Rattus norvegicus: one gene and its partners. The protein of the gene in region 3 purifies or fractionates together with the protein of the main gene of each other region. This does not show direct contact. Links are inferred from orthologs where the notes say so. Each region holds a gene or a part of one and is shown on either strand. Other genes may lie near its edges. The genes, in order: Hspbp1, Hsp90ab1, Hsf1, Smarca4, Bag3, Fbxw7 and Hnrnpa2b1.

The links.
Region 1: the proteins of Hsf1 (region 3) and Hspbp1 purify together in Homo sapiens (affinity purification with mass spectrometry; 5 studies listed by BioGRID and IntAct, counting the BioPlex papers as one, with this or other methods). This does not show direct contact. The link is inferred for Rattus norvegicus from reciprocal best matches to the Homo sapiens genes HSF1 and HSPBP1.
Region 2: the proteins of Hsf1 (region 3) and Hsp90ab1 purify together in Homo sapiens (affinity purification with western blotting; 3 studies listed by BioGRID, with this or other methods). This does not show direct contact. The link is inferred for Rattus norvegicus from reciprocal best matches to the Homo sapiens genes HSF1 and HSP90AB1.
Region 4: the proteins of Hsf1 (region 3) and Smarca4 purify together in Homo sapiens (affinity purification with western blotting; 3 studies listed by BioGRID). This does not show direct contact. The link is inferred for Rattus norvegicus from reciprocal best matches to the Homo sapiens genes HSF1 and SMARCA4.
Region 5: the proteins of Hsf1 (region 3) and Bag3 purify together in Homo sapiens (affinity purification with mass spectrometry; 3 studies listed by BioGRID and IntAct, with this or other methods). This does not show direct contact. The link is inferred for Rattus norvegicus from reciprocal best matches to the Homo sapiens genes HSF1 and BAG3.
Region 6: the proteins of Hsf1 (region 3) and Fbxw7 purify together in Homo sapiens (affinity purification with western blotting; 4 studies listed by BioGRID, with this or other methods). This does not show direct contact. The link is inferred for Rattus norvegicus from reciprocal best matches to the Homo sapiens genes HSF1 and FBXW7.
Region 7: the proteins of Hsf1 (region 3) and Hnrnpa2b1 purify together in Homo sapiens (affinity purification with mass spectrometry; 3 studies listed by BioGRID, with this or other methods). This does not show direct contact. The link is inferred for Rattus norvegicus from reciprocal best matches to the Homo sapiens genes HSF1 and HNRNPA2B1.

Annotation. Positions count from the first base shown.
Region 1 is NC_086019.1:78,211,067-78,214,566, reverse strand, and holds part of Hspbp1 (hsp70-binding protein 1), read right to left. Parts: intron 1,391-3,500; coding exon 1,235-1,390; intron 1,133-1,234; coding exon 1,036-1,132; intron 1-1,035. UniProt on the Homo sapiens protein: Inhibits HSPA1A chaperone activity by changing the conformation of the ATP-binding domain of HSPA1A and interfering with ATP binding. Interferes with ubiquitination mediated by STUB1 and inhibits chaperone-assisted degradation of immature CFTR.
Region 2 is NC_086027.1:22,929,045-22,933,222, forward strand, and holds the start of Hsp90ab1 (heat shock protein HSP 90-beta), read left to right. Parts: upstream 1-1,378; 5' UTR 1,379-1,423; intron 1,424-2,648; coding exon 2,649-2,795; intron 2,796-2,968; coding exon 2,969-3,175; intron 3,176-3,388; coding exon 3,389-3,548; intron 3,549-3,817; coding exon 3,818-4,178. UniProt on the Homo sapiens protein: Molecular chaperone that promotes the maturation, structural maintenance and proper regulation of specific target proteins involved for instance in cell cycle control and signal transduction. Undergoes a functional cycle linked to its ATPase activity.
Region 3 is NC_086025.1:110,100,710-110,104,165, reverse strand, and holds the end of Hsf1 (heat shock factor protein 1), read right to left. Parts: coding exon 3,452-3,456; intron 3,319-3,451; coding exon 3,049-3,318; intron 2,611-3,048; coding exon of another isoform or gene 2,527-2,610; intron 1,814-2,526; coding exon 1,708-1,813; intron 1,631-1,707; coding exon 1,565-1,630; intron 1,495-1,564; coding exon 1,425-1,494; intron 1,346-1,424; coding exon 1,140-1,345; 3' UTR 501-1,139; downstream 1-500. UniProt on the Homo sapiens protein: Functions as a stress-inducible and DNA-binding transcription factor that plays a central role in the transcriptional activation of the heat shock response (HSR), leading to the expression of a large class of molecular chaperones, heat shock proteins (HSPs), that protect cells from cellular insult damage.
Region 4 is NC_086026.1:28,464,319-28,467,818, forward strand, and holds part of Smarca4 (transcription activator BRG1), read left to right. Parts: intron 1-946; coding exon 947-1,205; intron 1,206-2,443; coding exon 2,444-2,570; intron 2,571-3,032; coding exon 3,033-3,206; intron 3,207-3,500. UniProt on the Homo sapiens protein: ATPase involved in transcriptional activation and repression of select genes by chromatin remodeling (alteration of DNA-nucleosome topology).
Region 5 is NC_086019.1:192,553,960-192,557,459, reverse strand, and holds the end of Bag3 (BAG family molecular chaperone regulator 3), read right to left. Parts: intron 1,488-3,500; coding exon 681-1,487; 3' UTR 179-680; downstream 1-178. UniProt on the Homo sapiens protein: Co-chaperone and adapter protein that connects different classes of molecular chaperones including heat shock proteins 70 (HSP70s), e.g. HSPA1A/HSP70 or HSPA8/HSC70, and small heat shock proteins (sHSPs), e.g. HSPB8.
Region 6 is NC_086020.1:172,446,597-172,450,537, reverse strand, and holds the start of Fbxw7 (F-box/WD repeat-containing protein 7), read right to left. Parts: upstream 2,801-3,941; 5' UTR 1,647-2,800; exon of another isoform or gene 1,613-1,646; intron 1-1,612. UniProt on the Homo sapiens protein: Substrate recognition component of a SCF (SKP1-CUL1-F-box protein) E3 ubiquitin-protein ligase complex which mediates the ubiquitination and subsequent proteasomal degradation of target proteins.
Region 7 is NC_086022.1:81,870,700-81,872,886, forward strand, and holds part of Hnrnpa2b1 (heterogeneous nuclear ribonucleoproteins A2/B1), read right to left. Parts: intron 2,051-2,187; coding exon 1,840-2,050; intron 1,737-1,839; coding exon 1,635-1,736; intron 1,550-1,634; coding exon 1,469-1,549; intron 867-1,468; coding exon 804-866; intron 150-803; coding exon 30-149; intron 1-29. UniProt on the Homo sapiens protein: Heterogeneous nuclear ribonucleoprotein (hnRNP) that associates with nascent pre-mRNAs, packaging them into hnRNP particles.

The DNA of each region.
Region 1 (3,500 bases), on a different chromosome or scaffold from region 3:
AGAGAAATTCTTTCTTGAAAAAAGCCAAAACCAAGGAAGGAAGGAAGGAAGGAAGGAAGGAAGGAAGGAAGGAAGGAAGGAAGGAAGGAAATCTTACAATGTGGGAGCTGGAGAGATTCTTCAGTGGTTAAGATCACTGGCTGCTCTTCCAGAGGACCCAGGTTCAATTCCTAGCACCCATACAGTGGGTCACACCTGTCTGTGATTTCAGTTCAGAGTTTCTGACACTCACACACAAACGTACATTCAAGGTTTTACTTTACCGATGAACATAATATAAAATGATATATATTTTAAATTATATATAATATATATTATATATATGAAATCTTACAGTGCTTTAAGTTTACAATTCTGTATTGGGCAGTGTTGTGTTTTATAAAAAGATAAGGAAAGAGAAAATGTGTTTGGTGGATGTGTAGTTAGGTATGGGGGAAGGGTACTTCCACAGGCCCATGCTGAGGCATCCCTTCCTCCTGAGGGACCAGCTACACAATCCTATAGTATAGAATAGAGTTTATTCAGGGCCTGGAGAGGGCAGTTGAGAGGGTAGTAAAGACAGAGAAAGGCAGAGAAGGAGGAGGGAAAGAGAGGGGAGGGGAGAGGCGTGGAGGCTGGCCATAAGCAGTCATAAGCACGTGGAGAGAGGTGGAGGAGAATGGGGAGAGGGGGTAGCCTCTTTTATAGTGAGTCAGGCATACCTGGCCTTTGCCAGGTAACTGTGGGGCAGAGCGTAAACGAAATGCTAACAGGCAGCATTCTGGGTACATGTGGCCTAAGGCCTGCAGGATGAAAAGGCCAAGAACACTAATTTGTTCACCCTGAGAACTGTAAGAAGGGTTTCTCCCTCCCAAGAACTGAAAAGAGATGCACTGTGTGATCCCTGCACCTCTCTGACCTACAATCTTTTTGTGTCCCACAGAGTTAGTTCCAGTGCAGGGGGGTCCCAGTATAGGAACAGACTAGTGCCTGAGCTGCTCTTTCTGTGAAAAACTCATACAAGGCCCTTTCCTCCTAGAACCCCAGCACACCTACCTGCACAGGGCTCCAAGCACATGCTCATGGAAAGGACTGTGTTCTGTCCTCACAAGGGCCACCAGCTGCTGGACCATCCCCATGGAGCAAAGGGTTCCTGGGGGAAGAGCTGTGGGAGTCAGGAAGGACGTTCCCATACCACTCCCATGTTTCCCAGATGTCTTTCTCAAGGCATCTGTTAACCTGTCAGCCAGCTCACCTTTGTGCTCAGGGTGGCCCACCAGCAGGTTCTGCAGCAGGAATGCTGACTTGACCTTGAGCTTCTGCACTTGCTGCTGCATGGCCCGCATCAGCACTGAGAATCCATCCAGGCGGAGGAACTGCAGCAATCCAGCCTCCTGCTCTCGGACAAGACCTGGAGAGAGAAGCAGAGCTCTGAGGTCCCAGTCACCATGGCCTCCATCATCACCAGAAACACCAACATGCCTATCGTGATGATCATCAGTACTATACCCATCACCACCATCGCAGTCACTACAACTATCAACACCACCCATTCACTATTATCATCAGTGCCATCACAATGAGCATCATTTCTAGCACTATCCCCAGCAGCAGCACCACAATACCATCACCATTACTAAACCCATCAACATCACTGTCACCACTGTGACCACCACCACCATTTCCATTAACCACCACCATCCCCTCTATCACCATTCCTACAGCCAGGAACAACACCCTCACCACTATATCACTATTACCGCGGAAACCAGCGTTATCATCATTACGTAATTGCTACTTCCATCCACCCAGCACCACAATCACTGTTAACAGCACTATCATCACAATCACCACTTCGACCATCAGTACTATGACCACCATGACCACTATCATCACTATCCACTGTCAGCAGCAGCAGCAGCATGACCACCACTGTCACCATCATATAGTAAGTAGTTCACCATCATAACCCATATTTCACTCTCTTAATGCATTTAACTCAGCGGTTTTTAGCATGTTTACAAGCAATGCAACCACTGCTATCACTTGACTCCAGAACATTTACATTGTGCCGGTACCCAGTGGATGACACTCCCATTCTCAGTTTGCTTCCTGCTCTGCCACCACCGATCTAGTTTCTTTCCCTATGGATTTGCCTACCTTGGATACCTCATATGAATGGACTCACACAATATGGAACCTTTGTATCTAGTCTTGTTCACTCAACTGTTTTCAAGGTCCATCCATGTTATAAATCCTGTAACTACTTCATTTCCTCTTACAATAGAGCAATACTTGATCATAGGGGATGTAACTTGTCTTTTGCTACTTGGTGGATTCTTCTTTCTTCCATCCTTCTCCGGCCCTTTTCTTTCACCCCTTCAATCCCCTAACACTGGATAAAAGAGGAAAAAAGGATAGAGAGGAAAGGAAAGAGATCCCTCAATAAAGTCAGAGATTGGAAGGGGGGCGGACAATGTTTTTGTTAGACTACTTCCTGCTGATTAAGGTGTTGAGTTCCTTGGGGCAAGATTGATCTTCAATGTCAGTATCTAATTTCTTCTTGTTTCTTCTTTGTGTCCCACTGACTACTTAACAAACCATGACCGACAGTAGCCAACAACCACCCCTGCCTCTTGGAACCCCCGAGCATTTACATATCCTCTGATAAGTTCCCGAATTACAAACATCAAACAATCACAGAAACTATCTGCAGCTGGTAAAACCACGCCCCTGTTAGAGCATGAGGCAAATCATAGCTGCTTTGGATAATCTGAAGCAGTCCCATTCCCCACAACTGGGATTAAAACGAAAACATATTCTTATAATATTTTCATGTTTTTTAGAGAAGCCAAATTTCCAAAGTTGTCGCTAGAGAAGCACACGTTTTTATGCAGTTACCTTTTACTTTTGACTTATACCTATAGGTAAGTAGGTTCCCTTGGGCTCCCATTTTATCTATTTGCTCATTCATTCAGCTGTTTACTTATTTTGGGTCTTTTTCTGTTTGTGTACATAATACGTGTATGTTTATATGTGTTCTTGTGTATACATATGCACGTGCATGTGGAACTCAGCAGTCATGTCTGATCTTGTCCAGAGTCACTGCCCACCTTGTTTATTGTGACAGGATTTCTCACTGAACCTGTAGCTTCCCCAGTCACAATAGGCTGGACAGCTAGAGACTTCCAGGGACTCCCCATTCTCTGACTCCCCTGCTCTGGGATTACAGCCCCAAGCCTCCATGCTTGGCTTGTTACATGGGTACTGGGCATCTGAACTCAGGTTGTCATGCTTGCAAGCATTTTACCAACTGAATCATTTCCCCAGACCTTATGGGTTTTTTGTTTTGGTTTGGTTTGGTTTTTTTGGTTCTTTTTTTCGGAGCTGGGGACCGAACCCAGGGTCTTGCGCTTCCTAGGCAAGCGCTCTACCACTGAGCTAAATCCCCAACCCTGAACTTATGGGTTTTAAGATGAGGTTTCATATATTTCAGTCTGGCCTCCAACTCACTCACAGCC
Region 2 (4,178 bases), on a different chromosome or scaffold from region 3:
CAAGCTTCCAGATGCAGCCTTGGAAAACCGCAAGGCTAGATTGCCAGCTGAAGGACAGGCAAGGCATGGCGGGTCACCTCCAGAACCAAAACACTGGTGCAACTTGGTTCTGGCTCCTGGAACCCGGCCAACCTGTGACCAGCATCTTCATGCGGATACCTTAGAGCTCTCGTTAATCTGCAAAGACCGTGACCTCCTCCTCTCTAGGTTCAAAGAGCTGCAGTAGGGAAGAGGGCTAGCTAGAAAAGCGAAACCAGCTTGAGAAACAGCTTGTGCTCGCAAAGGGAAGGCACATGTCCCCGCGCGCCTTGTACGTGGGCGACCCGGGAGGCTGAGGGTTGGGGAGTGTTCTACCCAGTAGCGTTCGGTTTCCCGTCTCTGTTCACAGAAAGGTGTCCGCAGTCACTCACCCCCACAGCCCCCGTGCCCTGTGACCGATCCAGGTCAGCCATCCCTCCCCCCTCTGCGCTCCACACCTCCACAGTAATGTGGGCCTTCCAGGGCCACGAGTCGTACAAACGTAGCCCATGGTACAGAGACTTGGGGAAAATATTTCCCCAGGTTAAGATCGTGGCAGAGAAAAAGAACCAGCCGAAAGGCGATGAAGACACAGCCCCCGCCGCAGCAGGGGAGGTGGAGCCTCGGGGGGAGGGGTTGAGACCGCCGAGACAGGCCTAGAAACTGCTGGAAGAAATCGAAGCACCGCCACTGCTGCTCCTTCCGCCACAGGCCGCCAAAGAGTCCCTGCTAGCCCAGGCCCGCGCCCCTCCCCTCGGAGAAGCTGCTCCCCGCCTGCCGCTTCGCTGTACCGGGGAGGGTGGGGATCAGGGACTCCTTAAAGTTGGACAACGAATTTCTTATCATCCTTTTCTCTCGATGTGCGATTTGTAGGGAACATTCTAGTAAGATCGGGTCTGAAAATGGCAGCCGAATTGGTCACCTCCGTTCTCTTTCAGAAGTCCCTTGAGGACTGGACTCTTGAGGGTGGGAGCGCCTACATCGAATTTTCTGCGCGAGTCCGTGGGGTATTCGCCGCAGATACATCCCCTAATAGCATATGCATGCTCCCTGGCCATCTTGAGGGCTACATGTCCTACTCATGCAGAAATGAGGGTACCAAACGCTATTGAATTGGCCTTGACTCGCAGCCCAGGCCCGGGGTCCCGCTCTTCCCCGCCCCCTCCCCGGTCTGCGAGCATGACGTCAAGGTGGGCGGGCGGTGGCAGGTGCGTGGCTGGCAGCCACTCCTTTAAGGCGGAGGGATCCAAGGGCGGGGCTAGGGCTGTGCTTCGCCTTATATAGGGCGGTCGGGGGCGTTTGGGAGCTCTCTTGAGTCACCCCCGCGCAGCCTAGGCTTGCCGTGCGAGTCGGACGTGGTCCGGGCCCACCCTGCTCTGTACTACTACTCGGCTTTCTCGTCAAGGTAAGGCCGCGCTCTCCTGTACTTGGCGGCTCCGTGGGTCTTCTTCCTGGGGTCTCCGCCAACATCTCATCTGAACTAAAGGCTCCTTGTTGGGCTGGGCGGTCTGCGGGGATAATGTGCCTAGAATGTCTCCAGTGGCTCATGGTGGACCCCGGCGGGCTTGCACCGCGAGGCTCCCCCGGGGCCGGTGGATTCCCCAGAGCGTGAGGTGGGGGTGCGGCCGGGCCAGGTGGTGGGCGGCCGCACGTGGTAGCCGCCGACCCGGGACGCTGCCATGTTTGCCCTCCACTTCCGGGCGCGGCTGCAGGGTCCATAGGGTCCGCGCGGTGGCGGGCTGCTATGTGCATGACTCAGCAAGACGAGGTTGGCCTGGCTACCTCCCCCGGACGCGTTTCCCAACGTGTTTTGTTCTGGGGAGGGGTACAAGGGTTGGCAGGAACGCTTGAACCCACTGCGTTTGTCCCTTTCCAGATCTTTCTGCTGCCCTCCCCGTGGAGTGGGAGGAGAAACGGGGAGGGAGCAGGTACGGGGAGATTCTTAGGTCCCTCCCTTACTCCTCCCCTCCCGGGAGCTCAGATTGTTCTGGAAGCCTCGGGCGCCCCGCCCCAGTGCCCGGATGCTGGGGCGGTGGGAGGGCTACAGTGGCGCCCCCTCCCCGTGAGTCTCCTGGCGACGCATGTCCGGGTCGCCGGACGGCTGGGCCACCATTTTACTTGTGTTTGGGCCTATGCAAGTCTGCACAGTTCAGCGTTCATGGTGGAGCTTTTTACCTCTTTGTCCTGATTTAATTGCCCTTTGAGTCCTTCCAGAACTATAGCTTCGGGTTTTCTTGCCCTGCCGAGGGGAAGAGCACAAATCCGTTTACGGGAGGCTGCTCTTTCTGTTAAAGTTGATACTTAACCCCAGTGAAGAATGAAGAAGAAATTGGGGATCTTATTGTATAGTTAACTCAGTCTGGATTTTTACTATATCGGCAGGTGTTCTGTTCTGAGTCAGGGAGCTGAACTCTTAATATGCCGTTCAAAAAGTCTGACATTTGGACATTAGTTTGAAGAGCCATCCTTTGGGTTTTTTTCCATTCTTGATTTGTCTTGCCACTGTAGCTTTAAGGTCTTTCTTTTATTTCTTTCTTTTTTTAAACAAATGGCGGTTCTAGTCTTGGGAATGGGTACTACCCAGATTAAAGAAGTTTGAACTGAACTTTTAATAAGACTTTCATTCTTAGATGCCTGAGGAAGTGCACCATGGAGAGGAAGAGGTGGAGACCTTCGCCTTTCAGGCAGAAATTGCCCAGCTGATGTCCCTCATCATCAACACTTTCTACTCAAACAAAGAGATTTTCCTCCGGGAGTTGATCTCTAATGCTTCTGATGTGAGTGTTCTGTTGAATTTCTAAGACGCCACAGAAGAGTGTGAGTGAGTGAGTGAGTGTGAGAGAGAGAGAGAGAGAGAGAGAAGCAGGGAGTGATTAGAGTAATCCAGCAGTTGATGAGAAGGAACTGTTTGGATAAATGGAATAAGTGGCTGTGTACGTGTACATTACAGGCCCTGGACAAGATTCGGTATGAGAGCCTGACTGACCCTTCCAAGTTGGACAGCGGGAAAGAGCTGAAGATTGACATCATCCCCAACCCTCAGGAACGCACGCTGACTTTGGTGGACACAGGCATTGGCATGACCAAGGCTGACCTCATAAATAACTTGGGAACCATTGCTAAGTCTGGTACAAAGGCGTTCATGGAGGCTCTCCAGGTGCGTGTGTGGCCTTCCACCCATGCCATTCTCAATTTGTTACTGCTTCTGGCTTGCTAATTTAAAACTTGTCAGACTAGGATGTGTGGTCTGTCTTTCTAATAAGTACTTGTGGCCTAGATTCTGGAAGTTGAACTGATTACTACACTTGCTCAGCAAGCGGTTGTGCTTGTACAAGAACAGTTTTGCTCACTCTCTTACAACCCTTTGCAGGCTGGTGCAGACATCTCCATGATTGGGCAGTTTGGTGTCGGCTTCTACTCTGCCTACCTGGTGGCAGAGAAAGTGGTTGTGATCACGAAGCACAACGATGATGAGCAGTATGCCTGGGAGTCTTCTGCTGGTGGATCCTTCACTGTCCGTGCAGACCACGGTGAGATGGCAGTCTACGTTGGGTTGGTAGAATTCTCTGGGGGAAAGCCAGAAAGAAGCAGCCTTAATAGTTACTGTACTCTATAAAAGTACATTTTTGAGGGGTGAATGGCAGCACTTGGGACATGGCATACACGGGTGGTGGGTGAGTTGAGGCAAGCCAGGGCTGTGCAGAAACAGATCGCTTGAGAAACCAGGAACAAAAAAGAGGTGTACCTGTTTGTTGAGTATTTTAGTTGCAGTTTTTCATGTCTGGTTCACTCTCTGTAGGTGAGCCCATTGGCCGGGGTACCAAAGTGATCCTTCACCTCAAAGAAGACCAGACAGAGTACTTAGAGGAGAGGAGGGTCAAGGAGGTGGTGAAGAAACACTCACAGTTCATAGGCTACCCCATCACCCTCTATCTGGAGAAGGAACGCGAGAAGGAGATCAGTGATGATGAGGCAGAGGAAGAGAAAGGGGAGAAGGAGGAGGAAGATAAGGAGGATGAGGAGAAGCCTAAGATTGAGGATGTGGGATCTGATGAGGAGGATGACAGCGGCAAAGATAAGAAAAAGAAAACAAAGAAGATCAAGGAGAAGTACATTGACCAGGAAGAGCTGAATAAGACGAAGCCCATCTGGACCAGAAA
Region 3 (3,456 bases):
TTTGTACACTGCTTGGGGCCCAGGAATTCTACACATTGTACCTTTAGGATCTGTCTCAACTCCTTGAGATCAGGCTGCTCAACAAGTTGGGCTAGTGGCTCTAGGCTGTGCTGCAGAGGTCAAACTTGACTGGGCTTGGCTCACTCTTCCAAACTACCCTTGGCTCTGACATAGAGCTCTGAAGAGAGTGAATACTCTGCCCCAAGTTTTAGTAGCTGCCAAATTAGACAGAGGACTTTTATATAAGAGTCTTTTTGACAATCCAAGGTCTTCGTCCTTGCCTTGGTGAGGTTTGTGCTTATCTACCGCTAGAGTCTGCCAGGCTACAGACCCTAACCTGCAGTTAGGTGGTTACCTGGTGCTAGGCAGGGTGGGCAGTAAATTTGGCTGCCTTAGGCCACCTGTGAGGCCATTTCCACCTGCTTTCCCCCAGTGCGAGACGAGACAGCAGGAACAACTTCAGAAGCAGCCCAGTGCCTGACAGATAAGGGCCTGGCTCTGCCAACGTGTCCAGCATGGCCATGCAGAACACTCTTGCTGACAACAGCATGGGCCAGATTGGTCCCCTAAAGAAAAAGCTGTGAGCAAATACTAGTTCTGTAGATCAAGGTTGGTCTAGGGGGTATCACAGGTATCTGTATTTTTCCAAGGAGACATGTAGTAAGTTCTGAACTCCCTGCCTACATCCCCACCTTCCAGATCCCTCAGGGCAGGAGGAAACACACAGGAGGCCACAGTAGAACCTGTTTATCATCTGCCCATCTCCGTGTGCATGTATATATATATATATATGTATGTATATATATATTTATTTGTGAAGGGTTAAAGGGGACTCTCATGTAAAAATCCAAAATACAATTTTATGAACAACCTGCAGGGTCAGTCCAAGTGTGGCTGTGAAGCTCTGACCCAGAGAGCAGACCTGGGGCTGGGGTGAAGGCAGCAGGTATGCAGCCTTCAGGATCTTCCTCTTGATCCAAGGTACTGCCCAAGCCCAAGTCCCATCTGTGCTCCACTGGGGTTGTGCTGGCTTGACCTAGGATTCCCTGGACTACCCAACTGTCTTGTCTCCCCAGGACCAGCCGTGTCCTAGGAATAGGCTGGGGGCCAGGCCCAAGCCAGCCTGACAACTGAAACCTCTAGGAGACAGTGGGGTCCTTGGCTTTGTGGGGTTCAGTGCCCGTCAGAAGAGAGATGGTGGGATCATCCGTGTAGTCATCTCCCTCAGAGAAGTAGGAGCTCTCCCCCAGCTCAAAGAGCACAGGCAGTTCACTGCTCCCTGTGTCCACAGCATCAGGGTCCAGCAGGAACAGAGGCTGAGCCGTGTAGTGCACCAGCTGCTTTCCTGTGGGAAATGGGGTCAGGATGGTGGGGGTGGGCAAGTTGGAAGTGAGAGTTGGGAGGGGCACAGAAGCTTAGCTCACCTGAGTCGGCGTTACTATTCTCTGCCTCAATAGGCCTGGGAGGCTCTTGGGGAGATAGAAGTTCCTGAATCTGTGGGACAGAGAACACAGTGAGGGTTGTTGATGGCCCCCTCTGCCCCCCACCCTGCCCGCCTACGCACGCTGGCCAGGCTGCTGTCCAGGTCAGGCAGGCTCATGTCGGGCATGGTCACCGAGGGGCTGAACAGCTGCAGGAGGAGGGAGGGAAGTCAGGGCTGGCTTGTGGGTGGGATGGAGCGGGTTGGGTAGGGATGACCAGACTCACGTCCAGCAGGGCACTGGTGTCCACACTGAAGCCGTGGCTTGTCAGCATGGTCTGCAGGTTGTCCAGGTTGGAGTCCATGGCATCCAGGTGATCACTTAGCTCGTTCCTGGCCCAGGGCAAGTGGGCAGGTGAACTAATGCCCCAGGCTCCCACCCAGCCGCACTCCTGCTGGAGAAGGGCTCCCCTTTGGTTGCAGCCCCCCAAGCAAGGTCCTTCTGCATAGCCAGCATGGGCTGGGGACTGTGTGTGTGTCTCTGGGAAGATGCCAAAAGGGCTAGTAGTGAGCTTGCCCTCCATGGCTGCTGAGGGAGGGATATAGCATGGCCCGTGGGCAGGACATCCTAGGAGGCTTTAGTTACTAAGGCAGGCCAAGAGGGAGATGGAGAAGAAGGAAAGAGGTGTTGTTGGATAGGAGGGCAGATTTTTCAGGTTTGATAGTCTTGCCACTGCACCAGGAATAGAGTAAGGAGAGGAAACAGGACTGTGCTTGGCATGGGTAGTCCTCCCTTAGACCAGAGGCCTTAGGCCATGGGCAAGGCAGTTAAAATGGCTCTGTAGGTGCCATGGGGCCTGCCCTACTCTGACAGGAAGCTCATCGTAGCAGCCTGTACTGGTAGCTGGGGCAGGCAGGAAACTTGTCCCTATTACGGCCACTGGCTGGTGCAAAGGGAGTCAGTGGAGATGCAGAGCCTGTGAGACCATTCCCTGGTGCTCTTCGCCAGGCAGGGCAAGTGCTATGCCCGGGTTGGGAACTGGTCCATGGCTGTGGGAGGGGGCCTGGCGGAGTCCTCCTCCCTCCCAAGTGGGGGCAGCGCTAACCCTGGCTGGACTCGGCCATGCAGAAAGGAAGAGGGGCAGGGGAAGAGGCGGGCGACCCCAGACATCTGTGGAGCGCGAGCCAAACTGCAAGATACAAAGACAAGAGCCCCCCCATTGCAGGCGGGGGACGGGGGATCTATGCCCACCGTCCTCGCTCACTCAGCCTTTGGGATGTGCCTGAGGGGTGGTGGTCAAGGCTGGACCTTAACTCATCATTTCCTGTGTCGGTCTAGGGAGAATGACAGATCCAAAGATCTTGGGGCTTGCCACAAGAGAGGGTGATGGCAGTAGTAAGGGGGGCCCAAGAGGCAGGGGCATATCCCATTTCTAGTGATATGGTTGGTCTCCCTCCCCAGCTTCAACCTCACTCAGGTTTAGGAGAACAGATCCAACCCATCAACTCCCAGCAAACTGCAGGGATTGTGCCTCACTAAGACATAGGTACCCCGTGCCCAGCCTGAGGAAATCCCATGCTGTTGGGGTTCAGAGGCTATAGGGAGGCAGGGTGGGCACAGCACTCACTTGTCTAGGCAGGCTACGCTGAGGCACTTCTCAGGGGTGGAGGGGGCTGGGGGTGCAGGGGCTTGGGCTCCGGTTGTGTCCATAGGGGCTGTGTTTGAGGCAGCAGGGGTAGGTTCGCTCTCTCGAAGGATGGAGTCAATGAAGGCAGTTGGGGACAAAGGGGTATCCATGGAGGCTGGGCGCCCAGGGCTTGCCTCCAGTACCCGAGGGCTATGAGGTGGGCTGGGGGGCTCTTCCTTGACACGGACCAGGGTGCTGCTGGACAGAGGCCTGAACATGTTAGACAATGACAGACAAGTTAGAAGGAGCCTGAGTTAGCTCCACCCACTTCCAACTCTGCCCCAAGGTCCATAAAGGCTGACCCACTAAGGTGATAGGAGGGATAAAGGTACTGCAGCCCCACCTCTC
Region 4 (3,500 bases), on a different chromosome or scaffold from region 3:
GCTTGGGGAGATGGGGTCTAGCATGTCCCTTTCTCTAGAGAACACCCCCATGGAGGTAGATAGATGGCAAAATAGTTCAGTATCCTGCCAACTTTGCTAACTGCATGTGACCTTGGCCATGTCCTCTGAGACGTATCTCTGGAAAGTTCATTTGGATATTTCAAGGTCTTCATTTGAGTTGTAACAGTGGACCTTGACTATCTTCTTGGTCTGAGGTGAATCATTACTTATTGAAATCTACTTTGTTTGGATGTGAACTAGAGTCATTCTCTGAGAGAGAAACTATCCAAGACCCTCAGTAGATACGTGACATGGAGAAAGCAGCAAACCCCACGCATGCTGTTTGTTTCCTTCACACACTGTTTATCAAGCAGAGTAACAAGAAGTAATGATAAAACTCATCAGCCCGGTTAGGGATTTAGCTCAGTGGTAGAGTGCTTGCCGAGCAAGCACAAGGCCCTGGGTTCGGTCCCCAGCTCCGAAAAAAAGAAAAAAAGAAAAAAAAAAAAAAACTCATCGGTCTGAGGAAACGGTCTGAGGACAGCGTGCACCGAACCTGCCCTTGCGATGCTGCTGTGAGGAAGCAGTTACTATGCAGAAGTAGAATTTGAGTGTAGCTATTCAGAACAGCACACTATTAAGACAGTAATCATTTGTTCCTGGAATTTTCCATTTAATATTTTTAGACTGCCATTGACCAAGGGCAATTGAAACGTCAGAGGTGAAGCTGCTAAAGGGGAGGGGCGAGCTTGCATAGAGGAAAGATGGGGGCCTGCTGTCGCTGTGAAGCCAGACAGAACATCCAAACACTTGCGGTTAGGGCAGAGCTATGGGAGAACTGACCTGGAGGGTAGGAGTGTCTGGGTTCTGGCCTAGGTGAGAGGTGGCTGGAAGGGCAGTCCTGGGGGCCCAGAGGTCAAGCAGCATACTCCACTTGCCTCTCCAGGACCCATGGCCAATGCTGCTGCCCCCACAAGCACCCCACAGAAGCTGATTCCCCCGCAACCAACAGGCCGCCCTTCACCTGCACCTCCTGCTGTCCCGCCTGCTGCCTCACCTGTAATGCCACCACAAACACAGTCCCCAGGGCAGCCAGCCCAGCCTGCTCCATTGGTGCCATTGCACCAGAAGCAGAGCCGCATCACCCCCATCCAGAAGCCCCGGGGCCTGGACCCTGTGGAGATCCTACAGGAGCGGGAGTACAGGTGAGCACCCAAGTGCTACACTGCCAGTGTGATTGCGAGGTACAAGGGAATGCTCTGTGGTCTTCTTAGGCTCAGTCCCTTCTAGAGCCTTTGCACAGGCTGCGTCACACCTTCTAGCCATCAAGTGAGGTGGTGGCCATTTCTGTGGTTCCTGGACCCACTCCCTCTCTGCCTTGTACTTGTACTCTGGCATTGCTGCCAGTGCTTACTGCTGTATCCTTTCTAATGGGACTGTGAGCCACAAGAGAGCAGACAACTTTTTTGACCCCTGTTCAGCTAAGATTCCATATGAGAAACTGCCTTGGCACACAGTAGGTGCTCCATAAATAACTATAGGAAGGTAAAGTAGGGAACTTTTTCCACATAGGTTACTGGGAGGGTTAACCTGTAGATAAAACATTGATGCTGCCCATGGGCTTTGCAGATTTCCATAGCCCTGGGTCTCATGCTGAAGCTGAGCTGCCTAATGCCATAGGCCAACTCTCACTGCCCTTATGGGATTAGCACCTGGCTAAGTCACTGTTCTAGTTTACTTTTCTATTGCTGTGGTGAAACACCAAAGCAATCTAGAGAGGAAAGGGTTTATCTCCCCATGGATTTCCAGATAACAGTCCATTACTGAGGGAAGTAACTTAAGTCAGGACCTGAAGCACAGGCTGGGGAGGAACACTGCTCTTGTTCTCCAACTCATGCACAGCCAGCTTTTCTATATAGTTCAGAGCTACCTTCCTCAGAATCGTGCTGTCAGGGCAAGGCACGGCGGTGTATGCCTTTGGTCCCAGCTCTCAGGAAGCAGAGGCAGGTAGATCTTCATGAGTTTGAGGCCAGCCTGTTCTTATAAGCAAGTTCCAGGACAGCCAGGGCTACGTAGAGAAATCTTGTCTCGGAAAAGAAAAAAAATTTTTTCATGCTTCCACATTGGGCTGGCCGTCTGCTCAAGCAACTTTTGCATTTGAGGTCCCCACTTTGCAGATGATTCAGGGTTGTGTCATCTTGACAATAAAATCTAGCCAGGAGAGTTGTCAAGTCTCAGGCTCGCTGTGGTCCCAGCAGGCCTGTTCTCAAAAGCACTCTGAAGCCGCTTGTGAGGTTCTGTGTGGTAACTGATGTCCTTTTTTTGAAGAGTCCCCTCCTTTGAAGGACAGACTGTTTATAGACTCTGGCTTTAAAGATAGAGACCAGGTGACTTCTTGTAGACAAATAGTCCTCACCACCTTTCTTTCCCTATCTTTGCCCAGGCTGCAGGCTCGAATCGCACACAGAATTCAGGAACTTGAAAACCTCCCTGGGTCCCTGGCTGGGGACCTTCGAACCAAAGCAACCATCGAACTCAAGGCCCTTAGGTTGCTGAACTTCCAGAGGCAGGTGGGTCTGTGGGCCTGGGTCAGTGGGGATGCTGGGCTCCAAGAATGCTTTGAGGGGTGTTATCTGGGATACCTGCATGGTTGGAGCAGTCAGGACTCTGGGAGAGTTAGTTTACTGTCATGGCTCATGCTTTGGCACGACCCAGCCATGCATAGTCTGTGCCTACATGGGTATGGGCTCCTGAGGTTGCAGTTGGCAGCTAAGGCTTGGTGAGTCTCTTCCTGAGGGTACTGTGCTTTTACACATCCCCTCAGGAACTGTATGTGTGGGTGTAGAAAAGTCCTGATCTCTTATGTTCTGTTCCTTGCTTGTTCTACCTGCTGTCTCCCAAGCATCCTCTGCATCCCAGACAGTTTGTTGTAGGATCATCTGCCCAGCATGTGCTCATCACTCTGAGCATCTCCACAGACAGCACAAACCCATCATGCCTTAATGCCAGTGTCTCATTTTCCACCCTAAAAGCTGCGCCAGGAGGTGGTGGTGTGCATGCGAAGAGACACAGCCCTAGAGACAGCCCTCAATGCCAAGGCTTATAAGCGCAGCAAACGGCAGTCACTGCGGGAGGCCCGCATCACTGAGAAGCTGGAGAAGCAGCAGAAGATTGAACAGGAACGCAAGCGTCGTCAGAAGCACCAGGTGTGTTTGCCTTGCAGGGTGTACTCTGCTGAGTCTCCCTGCAAGCCAGAGTGTCCTGGGCACAGCAGTGTGCCAGTGCACAGACCAAACGGTAAGAGAAGAGGAGCAGGGATCATATCAGGCAGCTTCAAGAGGTGGGAGAAGAGGAGCGGGGACCTTAAAGAAGAATCCACCTTGGACAGACGGAGCTCAGTGAGGTTTCTGTGAGGAGGCTGAGCAGAGAGACTTGAGCAAGGGTACAGTGCTGAGGAGGGGCTGGGGCTGGAACATGCTCCCATGTGTCATCTAGAAGTG
Region 5 (3,500 bases), on a different chromosome or scaffold from region 3:
AGAGGTCAACGTGGGCCGTCGCCCTCGATTGTTCTTTACCTCATATTTTGAGACAAGAACACTCTCACCGAGCTCCTTGATGGGTTATTTGTGCCCAGTTTGTTATATGGGGTCCCCCACTGGAACAACCTTGATGCTATTTGTCACTCTTCAAACTCTTAGAAACCACAAAAACCACTGAGACTTATACAATCGCTTTATTTTCTGTCCCCCTCCCCGAAATGTAACAACATTAAAGCCATTCCAACGTAGATCTATTTCTACGGCTCCTTGCATATCTCATTGTAGCTGAAGTTAGATGTTTCAGTAACGAAATGAAGGTTATCTCATCAAAATGGTGGCACATCTCAAAGACGGGTTTCTTGTTCCTGTAACTCTCTGCCTATCCCTCAAAACCTAAAACCCCCTACGGTCCAGAGCTAACAGGAAGACAGCCCACAGCCAAGGCTAAATCACCATACCCATGCACAGAAAGGGCTCCCAAACAAGCAGAGGGGTTAGACTTCTGGAACGGGCAACTTGTTTATTTATACGGGTAAGAATAGGGAAGAGAAGCCCCCTTGGTTAGCGCTTTGCCTCCACCCCAAGTTACTGCATACCAAGCGGCTATGAATAAAGACAACCAGCTGACTGCAAGTCCCGCAGTGCATGCATCTTAAAAAGTCTCTACAACGCGGACCCTAGGGAGCCACCGGGTTGCCAGCCGAGTCTGCTGTGCTGCTGGGGTTTGGAGGCGTGGCGGCTTTGGCTTCTAGCTGTTGGCTTTCAGTTTGTGGATCTTCGTTTTCAGGACCTTTCTTATCCTTGTCGGCTGCCACGGCGCCCATGATTTCCTGCAGTGGCTGCTCGGGCTCAAGGTTGCTGGGCTGGAGTTCATAGACTTGGACCTGACCCGGGACATCGATTGCTTTCTGCTCCAGTTTTTCCAAGATGGTCTGAACCTTCCTGACGCCATCTCTCCTGGCCTGACGGACATCAGCTCGTCCTTCGGGGTCTACGGAATCCAGGGCCAGCAGCTCTTTGGTCAAATACTCTTCGATCATCAGGTATTTTTTATCAGTCTTCTTGCCTTCAAAGTTGTCGACGGCCTGCTCCAGCCCCTGCACCTTCTCCAAGATGGCTTCCACTTTCAGCACGCCTGGATGCTTATGGGGCGCTTCGGCGTCTCCTGACTTGAGGGATGCAGCCTCTGCAGGGGCAGGGCTGGGGGCTGCCTTCGGTTCTGCAGCCACATTCTTCGGGGAAGAAGGGACAGCCGAAGGGGCGGGGCCGGGAGAAGGACAAGGAATTGGGGCAGAGGAGACCTTCACTTCCACTTTCTCAGCAGGAGGAGGTGGTTTCTGAGAAACAGGCTTAGAGTCGGCCTCCCTGCGGATCACTTGAATGGGGATGTGTCCAGGAGGGAGATCTGGTCCAGCTAGGCCTGGCTTGCTTTCTGGTTTGTTTTCGGGTTGGGTGACAGGGGGAGGCTCTCGATGGGTCATGGGCTGTTGAGAAAGGAGGACACAAACTTTTTGTAACAGCCTAAAGCAATAATTCACAGTTAATAGCAAGCAAAGAAATAAAAAAAAAGGAAATTGGAAATAACTCTTTTAATTGTGTGTTTGCAGGCACTTGTGACCCGTGTACACGTGGATCTCAGGGGACAGCTTCCATTCTACCCTTCCACCTCTCCGTGGGTTCTGGGAACCGAGCTCAGACTGTCAGGCTTGCAAGCTCTTTATCCACAGAGCCTAGAAAATGACGTTCATTAAAAAAAAAAGATTTTTAAAAAATTTTATTTGTATTTATGTATATGCGATCTGTATGTATGTCAATGCCCTTGGAAGGCAGAAGAGGGAGTCAGATCTCCTGGAACTGGAGCTACAGGAAGTTGTGAGGCACCCACACAGGTACTGGGAACCATACTTAATCAAGAGCCGAGCCATTTCTCTATGCCCATATTGAGATCTTTTTGAGGGCAGCCACCAACCAAAATGCAAACTGGATGTTGATCATGAATGTGACCAAATTATCTGCTAAGCTTCCAGTGATTGGCTCACTACCTGCTTGTTCTGTCTTACAGGCAAGGAAAGCCAGCCACTGTCATTTTCAAAAATGAAACAGCATGCTGGCTGCTCAGTGGGGTTTGCTCAGAGTAATTTCTAACTGACTCCACTTCAGCCCTGGGCCGGAGATGCTGCCTCGGGTCTTGCTGTAAAAAGTCTCACTTCCTGGGTACCCTTTCAAGGTGACTTGTAACAGCCTAGTGCTTTCTGCTCGGACCAGTTTGTTTTTTTTAAAATAAAGCAAGATGCTCGAAATAGTTAACCCTGGAAGAATTCAGGCCCTGCATATTGATGCAATGCTGTGATATGATGCTTTACACTGGCATCCGGCTGCAAAGTCCTTCCAGGGGACTGAGGTCAAGGTCATATTTTAAAATACAAACCATGCTCCAAATGGGAACCGAGTGGGGCTCTTCTAGCATCTAAATGATTACCCGGACTCCAAACCCTCTCATGCCCCAGTTTCATCAACTGAGAAGAAATGCTATACTACTCCATCCCAGGTAGAGCTTTAATTCTTTCTACTTTCATGTTCAGATAAGCTAAATCCTTCAACACTCTAAAAAAACGGTTCTTTGAACAAGAAGTAAAAGAAAGGCTACCAAACTCAAGGTCAGTAGAGGTCGAACTAGGATTAAAGGCTCCCTCACTCACTACAGGAAACACGGGGCAGTCCCCAGGGGAATTCTCACCACTCCTTCCGGGATTACTGAATCCCGAGTGGGTGGCTATCTCGCTGGTGTGCTCCATTCCCACCAAGTGCTTCCTGCCCAACATCAACCCTCACCGCTCAGCCCGCCTCCTCGCAGCCATCCCACCGTGGGTTTTAAAAGCAATGGAAAGGCTGTGTAAGGATAAACTTAGGAAAGGGTGTCCTCTGCTCTTCAGAAATGTCAAGGTCATGAAGCATCGAGAGGCTGAGGAACCGTGCCAGAGACTAAAGGGAAGTGACAGCTAAAGTCAGTGTTTGCACTCCTGGATCAGACCCCCAAAGGGGAAAGTGCTGGGTAGGAAATTTGAAAGTGGGTGGTAAACTGGATAATATGCTATTGGAAGAATATTAAATTTCCAGAATCTGGCCATTCTACTCTGGTTGTATTTCTTAGGGAAAATATTTGCTCACGTATCCAGAAAGGCGTGTTAGTTGCAAGCAATTCTCAAGCAATAGTTAGAGTGAGTAGATGATACAGAGAAAGAAGTGACAGGAAGTGAGAGCGGCAAGCATTACTGGGGGTGGCAGGGGCCACTGGGGCTGTAAGTCAACTGCCAGTGTTTGAGCAGTGTGTAAAAGACCTTGGGTTTGACACCAGCACATGAACCCAACTCAGGGGTGCACCGCATAACCCCAGCACCAGGGAAACAAAAGCAGGAGGGTCAGAAGTTCAAAGTCATCCTCAGGCATACAGCAACTTTGGAGCCAGCCTGGGTGCATAAGAGACTGTCTCAACAAAG
Region 6 (3,941 bases), on a different chromosome or scaffold from region 3:
CAAAACATAAAGAGCTAGAAGACCCAGAAAGAGGGGAAAGATAGCCAAAGAAATGGGGTTTGGGGGGCCACAAAAGTTTCAACATGGCTGGCAGTCAGGACACACACCTTTTAATTCCAGCCAGCACTTAGAAGGCAGAAGCAGGTACATCTCTGTGAATACTAGGCCAGCCTGGTCTACAGAGATAATTCCAGGACAGTCAAGGTAACATAGTAAAACTGTCTTTTAAAAAAAGTTGGAACAAAGGGCCACAGTTAGGTTCATTGATTATTAAAGACCATGGTGGAATATGGGCCTCTGGTTATGTGCAAAAATTAATTTTGTTTTAGATCAAGATAATATATCTGTGTCAGAGGATAGGATGACAATACTGTGACCACTGAATATATTTATTCAACTTCCACTGAAATAAACAACCTGAAACCTGTAAACTAAAAAAAAAAAAAAAAAAAAAAAAAAAGTTGGAACAGATGATAGGAGAAATCAAACAAAGTCTATAAGAAATGTAAGATTAGCTCACAGTGTTTTAGCATTCCTCAAAGAAACTGTATCCTGAAAGATTGAGAAGGCAGGACAAAGAGAAGTAAATTGTTACATAGTGCAGAATAATAAACTTGAAGGTTCCTTACTTTAAGAAGAGGAGGGGAGAACATTGTGAAGTGTGAGAAACTTTCAAAGAAATTTAATCAAGATCCTAAATGGAGAGATTAGAATGGGTGGATAGATAAATGGATACTCCCAGGTTTCCATTCATTTCTACGGAGGATCTCTATTCTGCCCAAATTTAGTTGTCTGGGTGGACCGGCGTTCTCAGTCTTACACTGCCTATGTTCCTTGTTACACAAAATCCCACAGTACTTGCCTTAAGATGTTTAGTTTAACCTTACATAGTTGAAACATTACTTTTCTGTACCTCTAATTTAGCACTCAGTGTGCTAAGTGCTTTCTTAAAAGAGTACAAGTTTCTATGTTGACAAGTAGAGCCAAATAAGAAAAGCAGCATGCATGTCCTTTCAGTCCCTAGTAGAAATGTGTTATCACTTAAAATAGATGACGAGAGAGAGAGAGAGAGAGAGAGAGAGAGAGAGAGAGAGAAAGAGAGAGAGAGAGAGAAGTTGCAAGTGCTCTCCCTGAAATAAGTTTCAGCGAGTTGTGCATCCTAGGAACTCGGATTCTCCTGAGCCAAATGAAACATGCAAACAAGGACTCTACACATTGGAGTCTGTGGACTTATGAAATAAAGCGCTGGGGGCACCAAACCCCTCTTTGCACTAAAATCAAAATTGGTCTTCCTGACCAGGGCAACTTCAAAAACAATAGTTAGGAAAGGAAAAAAAATAAAATAAAATAAGAGTTGATTCAAGTGATTCCCACGTGGGAATCCATGGGAGTTTCCCTGAAACAAAAACCACTGCCAGAATCAGGTTGCCAGAAAAAGGTAGAGGACAGAGCTGTCCACACAGCTCCTCTAAGAAAAACGCCCGAGTACTTGCATTACTCCTGCAAACTGACGCTTTCTCCCGAAATTAGAAAGGAAAGGTCTCCACTGCCAACCCTCCCGAGAAACAGCCCAACTCCACCATCAAAGCACCCACCCGCTCCCACTTGTCACCTTATAATGTCCCCCCTCCTTCGGGTCCACTCACGCTTCAGAGACGAGCGGTGGCGCTGACAATGTGGCTGGCTCCCTTCCTCCTTCGGGCTGAGGCGGGCAGCTGCGGAAGGCTAGGCGCGGAACTAAGAAGCGGTGCTAGCGTCGCTCCACGGAGCAGCTACCCGGGTCTCTTCCGCGCTGCCGGGATAGAAGCTGAGGCGGCGGCGGCGGCAGCGGCAGCAGCCCCGCTCACCGCTTTTTCTCTTCCTGGGTCTCTGCAGGCTGTGGCTTCAGCCCGTCCTGGGCCACTTGTCCCGGGACAGTCACAATCAGAAAGCTCGAAGATTTTGTTTGGGTAAAGTTTCCTCTGGGCGGAGGCTGCAGCCGGCCCCCCGAGTCCCCCCCGGCCCCGCCGCCCTGGGGGGCTGGGGCGGGGAGGGGGCGCCGAGAACTCCTGGAGTCCCGCCGAGGAGCCGGGGTGCGGCGGCGGGCCCAAGGAGAAGCCCCCCAGAGGGGGTGAAGGGGAGGGGAGGGGAAGGAGAGGACAGCGGCGCCCGGGCCGCTCACCACGCCGCCGCGGCCGTTTCACATCGGGGTCCCCGCCCCCCCGGCCCGGAGGTGGCTCCTGGGCTGGGGGCCCCGGTTCATACACTCCGCTATGGGATGCTACGGCCCGGGTCGGCCGGTCTGGACGGCGGCAAGGCTGGGGACCCGGCGGGCTCGGATCGGCGCCGCCCCCGCTCCCGGCTCCCGCATGTGTCGCGGCGGCCGGGACCCCCTCCCTACACCTCGGGGGGTCCTTCGCCCCACACTCCGGGGCGAGGCAGAAAGCCCAGCCCCTCGCGGGCGTCCTCTCCCGGCTGAGCAGCTACGAGTCCCGACCGGCGGCAGCCGCCTCCCTGCCCCCCGGCCGCGGGCTCCGGCTCCGGCTCTGGCTCCGGCTCTGGCTGGGGCTCCCGCTTCGGCGTGTGCAGCAGCCGCTGCCGGCCGGGAAGGTAAGGGGGGGAGCAGACGGCGGCCACGGCTCCCGATGGCCCGGGCTGCGGCGAAGGTCTCGGCGGCGGCCAGTGCACGGGTGCCGGGTCTCTCGGATGCTCGCTCGCTCACTCACTCGCTCTCACCGGCGGCGGCGGCAGCGCCCGAAGCTCAGCTCGCTGTCTCTCTCGCTCTGTGCGGGGCTCTCGCCTCACTCCAGAGAGGGGCGGGAGGAGAGCGGCGCCCAGCGATGACGTAAGTCGCCTAGCAACCGCTCTCCTCTCCCTCCCTTCCCCTTCCACTCTGCGCCTTCCTTTGCTGGCCTTTTCTCCCCATCTCCAGCCACCCCGCCCTGGGAGGCTGTGGCGCGTTCTGATGACGCACAAAGGGAAAAGGAAGTCGAGATCTGGGAGCGGGTGGGTGCGCCTCGGGCCGCGGGACTGCTGCTGCTACCGCCGCCGCTGCCTCCGCCGCCGCCTCTACGGCCGCGTCAGAACTGAAGAGAGGAAGGGGAGGAGCCCAGGCGAGCCTAAGCTACCGCCTAATCTTACCCCTGACCCTAGGGCGCGGAGAGAGAGCTCCGTAGCCGTTCCCTCCGGGGCAGGTGCGAACTGCTCCTCTGGGAGTGAGGAGGAGGCCAGGGACCGGGCTAGGGCGCGCACCACCCGAAGGTGAGGCATTTGGTCCGGAGCAGATCTTCAAACAGAGAGACGGGTGGAAAAGTTAACCTACAGCCCAGAGGTTGCACCTGCTCCCCGGAGCGAGCCACCCCACCCTTCCCGTGGCGTGGGGTGAAACCTGGCGCTGCATTCTGTGTAGTGAGTGAGTGAGTGAGTGAGTGAGTGAGTGTGTGTGTGTGTGTGTGTGTGTGTGTGTGTGTGTGTATAAGTGTATACAAGCCTGCCTCTAGCACAGCCTTAGCGGAACTCCGAGGTGATGGTGGAAGCGCAAGCGTTTTGTAAATTGAAGTGTAGAAACGTGAGAGTTGTAATACATCTCCCTCCTCACCCCCACCCGCCACATGCAATGAAAGGAAAGAGATGAGAGGCTGTTTGTTGAGAGTCGCAACTTCAGGCTTTTGTGGGAAAGGAGGCGAAATTACTAGGGTTGGAAAACAGCCTCCCTTTTAAGAGTCATTCTTGTTTGTCGTTTAGATTTGGGGGAACTTTTTAGAGAGCTGATTTTGTTCATCAGAGTGCCCCTTACCGTCTTCAAAACATTTTGGCGACTCTCAAGTCTCAATACCTCTCCTCTCTCCCTTCCTCCCTCCCTCTCCCACTGTGTGTGTTAGCGGCCGGGGGTGGGGGGGTAGAGGTATGTTATTAATAAATCTATTAAGCCGTTTGTCTTACAGATTCTGGTCTGGGAAATA
Region 7 (2,187 bases), on a different chromosome or scaffold from region 3:
AACATAAAGGTTGTAGATGAATTTATTACCTCCTCCATAGTTGTCATAACCACCTCCGTAGCCCCCACCCTGGTTGCCATATCCAGGTCCTCCACCACCATATCCTCCTCTTCCTCCTCCATAACCAGGGCTACCTCCAAAATTGCCACCTATTATAAAATAAGCCTTTAAGTAATTGCTTAAATTATTCAATTCCATTTGAATTGTCTTTATTACACTCATTTCTGGTTTTTCAAAAACATATTTTATATAGTCTATTCTAGAATAGACTCAAAGGCAAGATAAATATCTAATCTTGGGTAAACATGAAGCAACTTAGAGTAACCTTTAATCCCACAAAACTCCTTTGAATCGGTATTTCAAATTCTTATGCTTTATAGTTTTGAGGAAGAAATAAGGGCAGCATACTAGCAAAATTTATAAAGTCTTGGCAGTCATACCTGCATGTGAAGCCCGCCTGGTCTACATGAAACCCAGGACTACAAAGATAATACCCCTGTATATTAAGAACTTATTACATAAATGCATTGTCTTATAATTCCAATATTCTAGCTTTTCTACAAAGCACAGAACTCCCTATCTAGGTTCAATTAGTTTTTTATGAAATGGAAACTCAAACTTATGATTTTACACTGTAAAGTAGGTTAAAGCCAACTTTGCTTAGTTACAAAACTCATCTTTAAAAGCCAATTGACCACTACCTCTAAGCACTTTGATAGGCAAAAGTGATATATAAACCAAACACCAAATTCAATGTTATTATGCGTATTAAGATACAGAAATCATAATCAATGAACACTAACCTCCAGGTCCTCCTCCATACCCATTATAGCCATCCCCAAATCCACGTCCACTTCCATATCCATCTGTTTAAAGAAAGTAAGAATTACACTTAATTTTTCTCCCCACTAATATCTCAGAATGAGGATGGCTAGAAATCTCACTAGTTTATATTGGTTGGGGGACAGGTGGTGGAAAGTCAAAGCCTTGATTGAATTCAAAGTACTTTAATGTGTGCCTCTTGTTACCAATTATTGAATTACAGTTATCTTGTCTGGTTTTCAGGTGCTAGGGTTCATTCAACCTTTGGCTATGTGTTCACCATGTGTAACCTATATGCAACCCATTTTCCATGCATGTAAGCACCTAGTTGATGGATTTCTGTGATGCTTTAGGACCCTGCTACTTCTGGGTTTTTTCAAATCTTACTCATATCCCATACAGCTTTAACTTTTAAACTTATGTGTTCACTGAATAAGCATGTGTGAATACATATATGAACCAGTGTACATGGTGGTCAAAGGACATTTTCACTGTGTCAGAGTACAGGGTCTCTCCTCTCCTCTCTTCCTCTACACTATACACTTCATGCCGAAGGCAAATTCTATTGAGTTTATCTCACTGAAGCCCTTCTATTCATAAAGCAAGTATATCACACCCTTCAAAAGCTCTCCAAATAGAAACTTACCAGAACCCCCCCTAAAGTTGCTTCCTGGTCCTGGTCCAAAATTGCCACCGCCACCTCGAGAATCTCCAAAACCAAAGTTTCCTAGGACATTATATTCTGATTAGTAGCAATAATGCAGACAAATAATCACATACACACACACACACACATATACACAAATAGTTACCTCCTCTTCCACTCCTAGAACTTTGGACTTCCTGCATTTCTTGTCTAGACAATGCCTTTCTAACTTCTGCATTGTGACCATTTATGGTGTGATATTTCTGCACTGGAATAAAAACAATAATTTGTTAATGCCAACTAAGCAATTTTTAGTGAATGTACCCAGTATTTTTTTTATACAACCACACCTCACGTGCCTAGACACTTACAGACAATCTTATCCACAGGATCATGGTCATCAAAGGTAACAAAGCCAAAGCCTCTTTTTTTTCCAGACTGCCTATCAGTAATTATTTCAATAGTATCAATTTTTCCATATTCTTCAAAGTAATCTCTAAGGTGATGCTCCTCAGTATCTTCCTTAATTCCACCAACGAACAGTTTCTTCACAGTCACATGGGCTCCTGGTTTCCCAGACTCCTACAATAAATACAAAGTTAAATTCTGACAGAAAAAACCTTGACTACATCTTACATGTCCATCTTAAGACAAATTCTCCAGATGTTACAATAGGTTTAAAGAGGTTTGTATTGAGAAACATGTACAAAAAATGCACA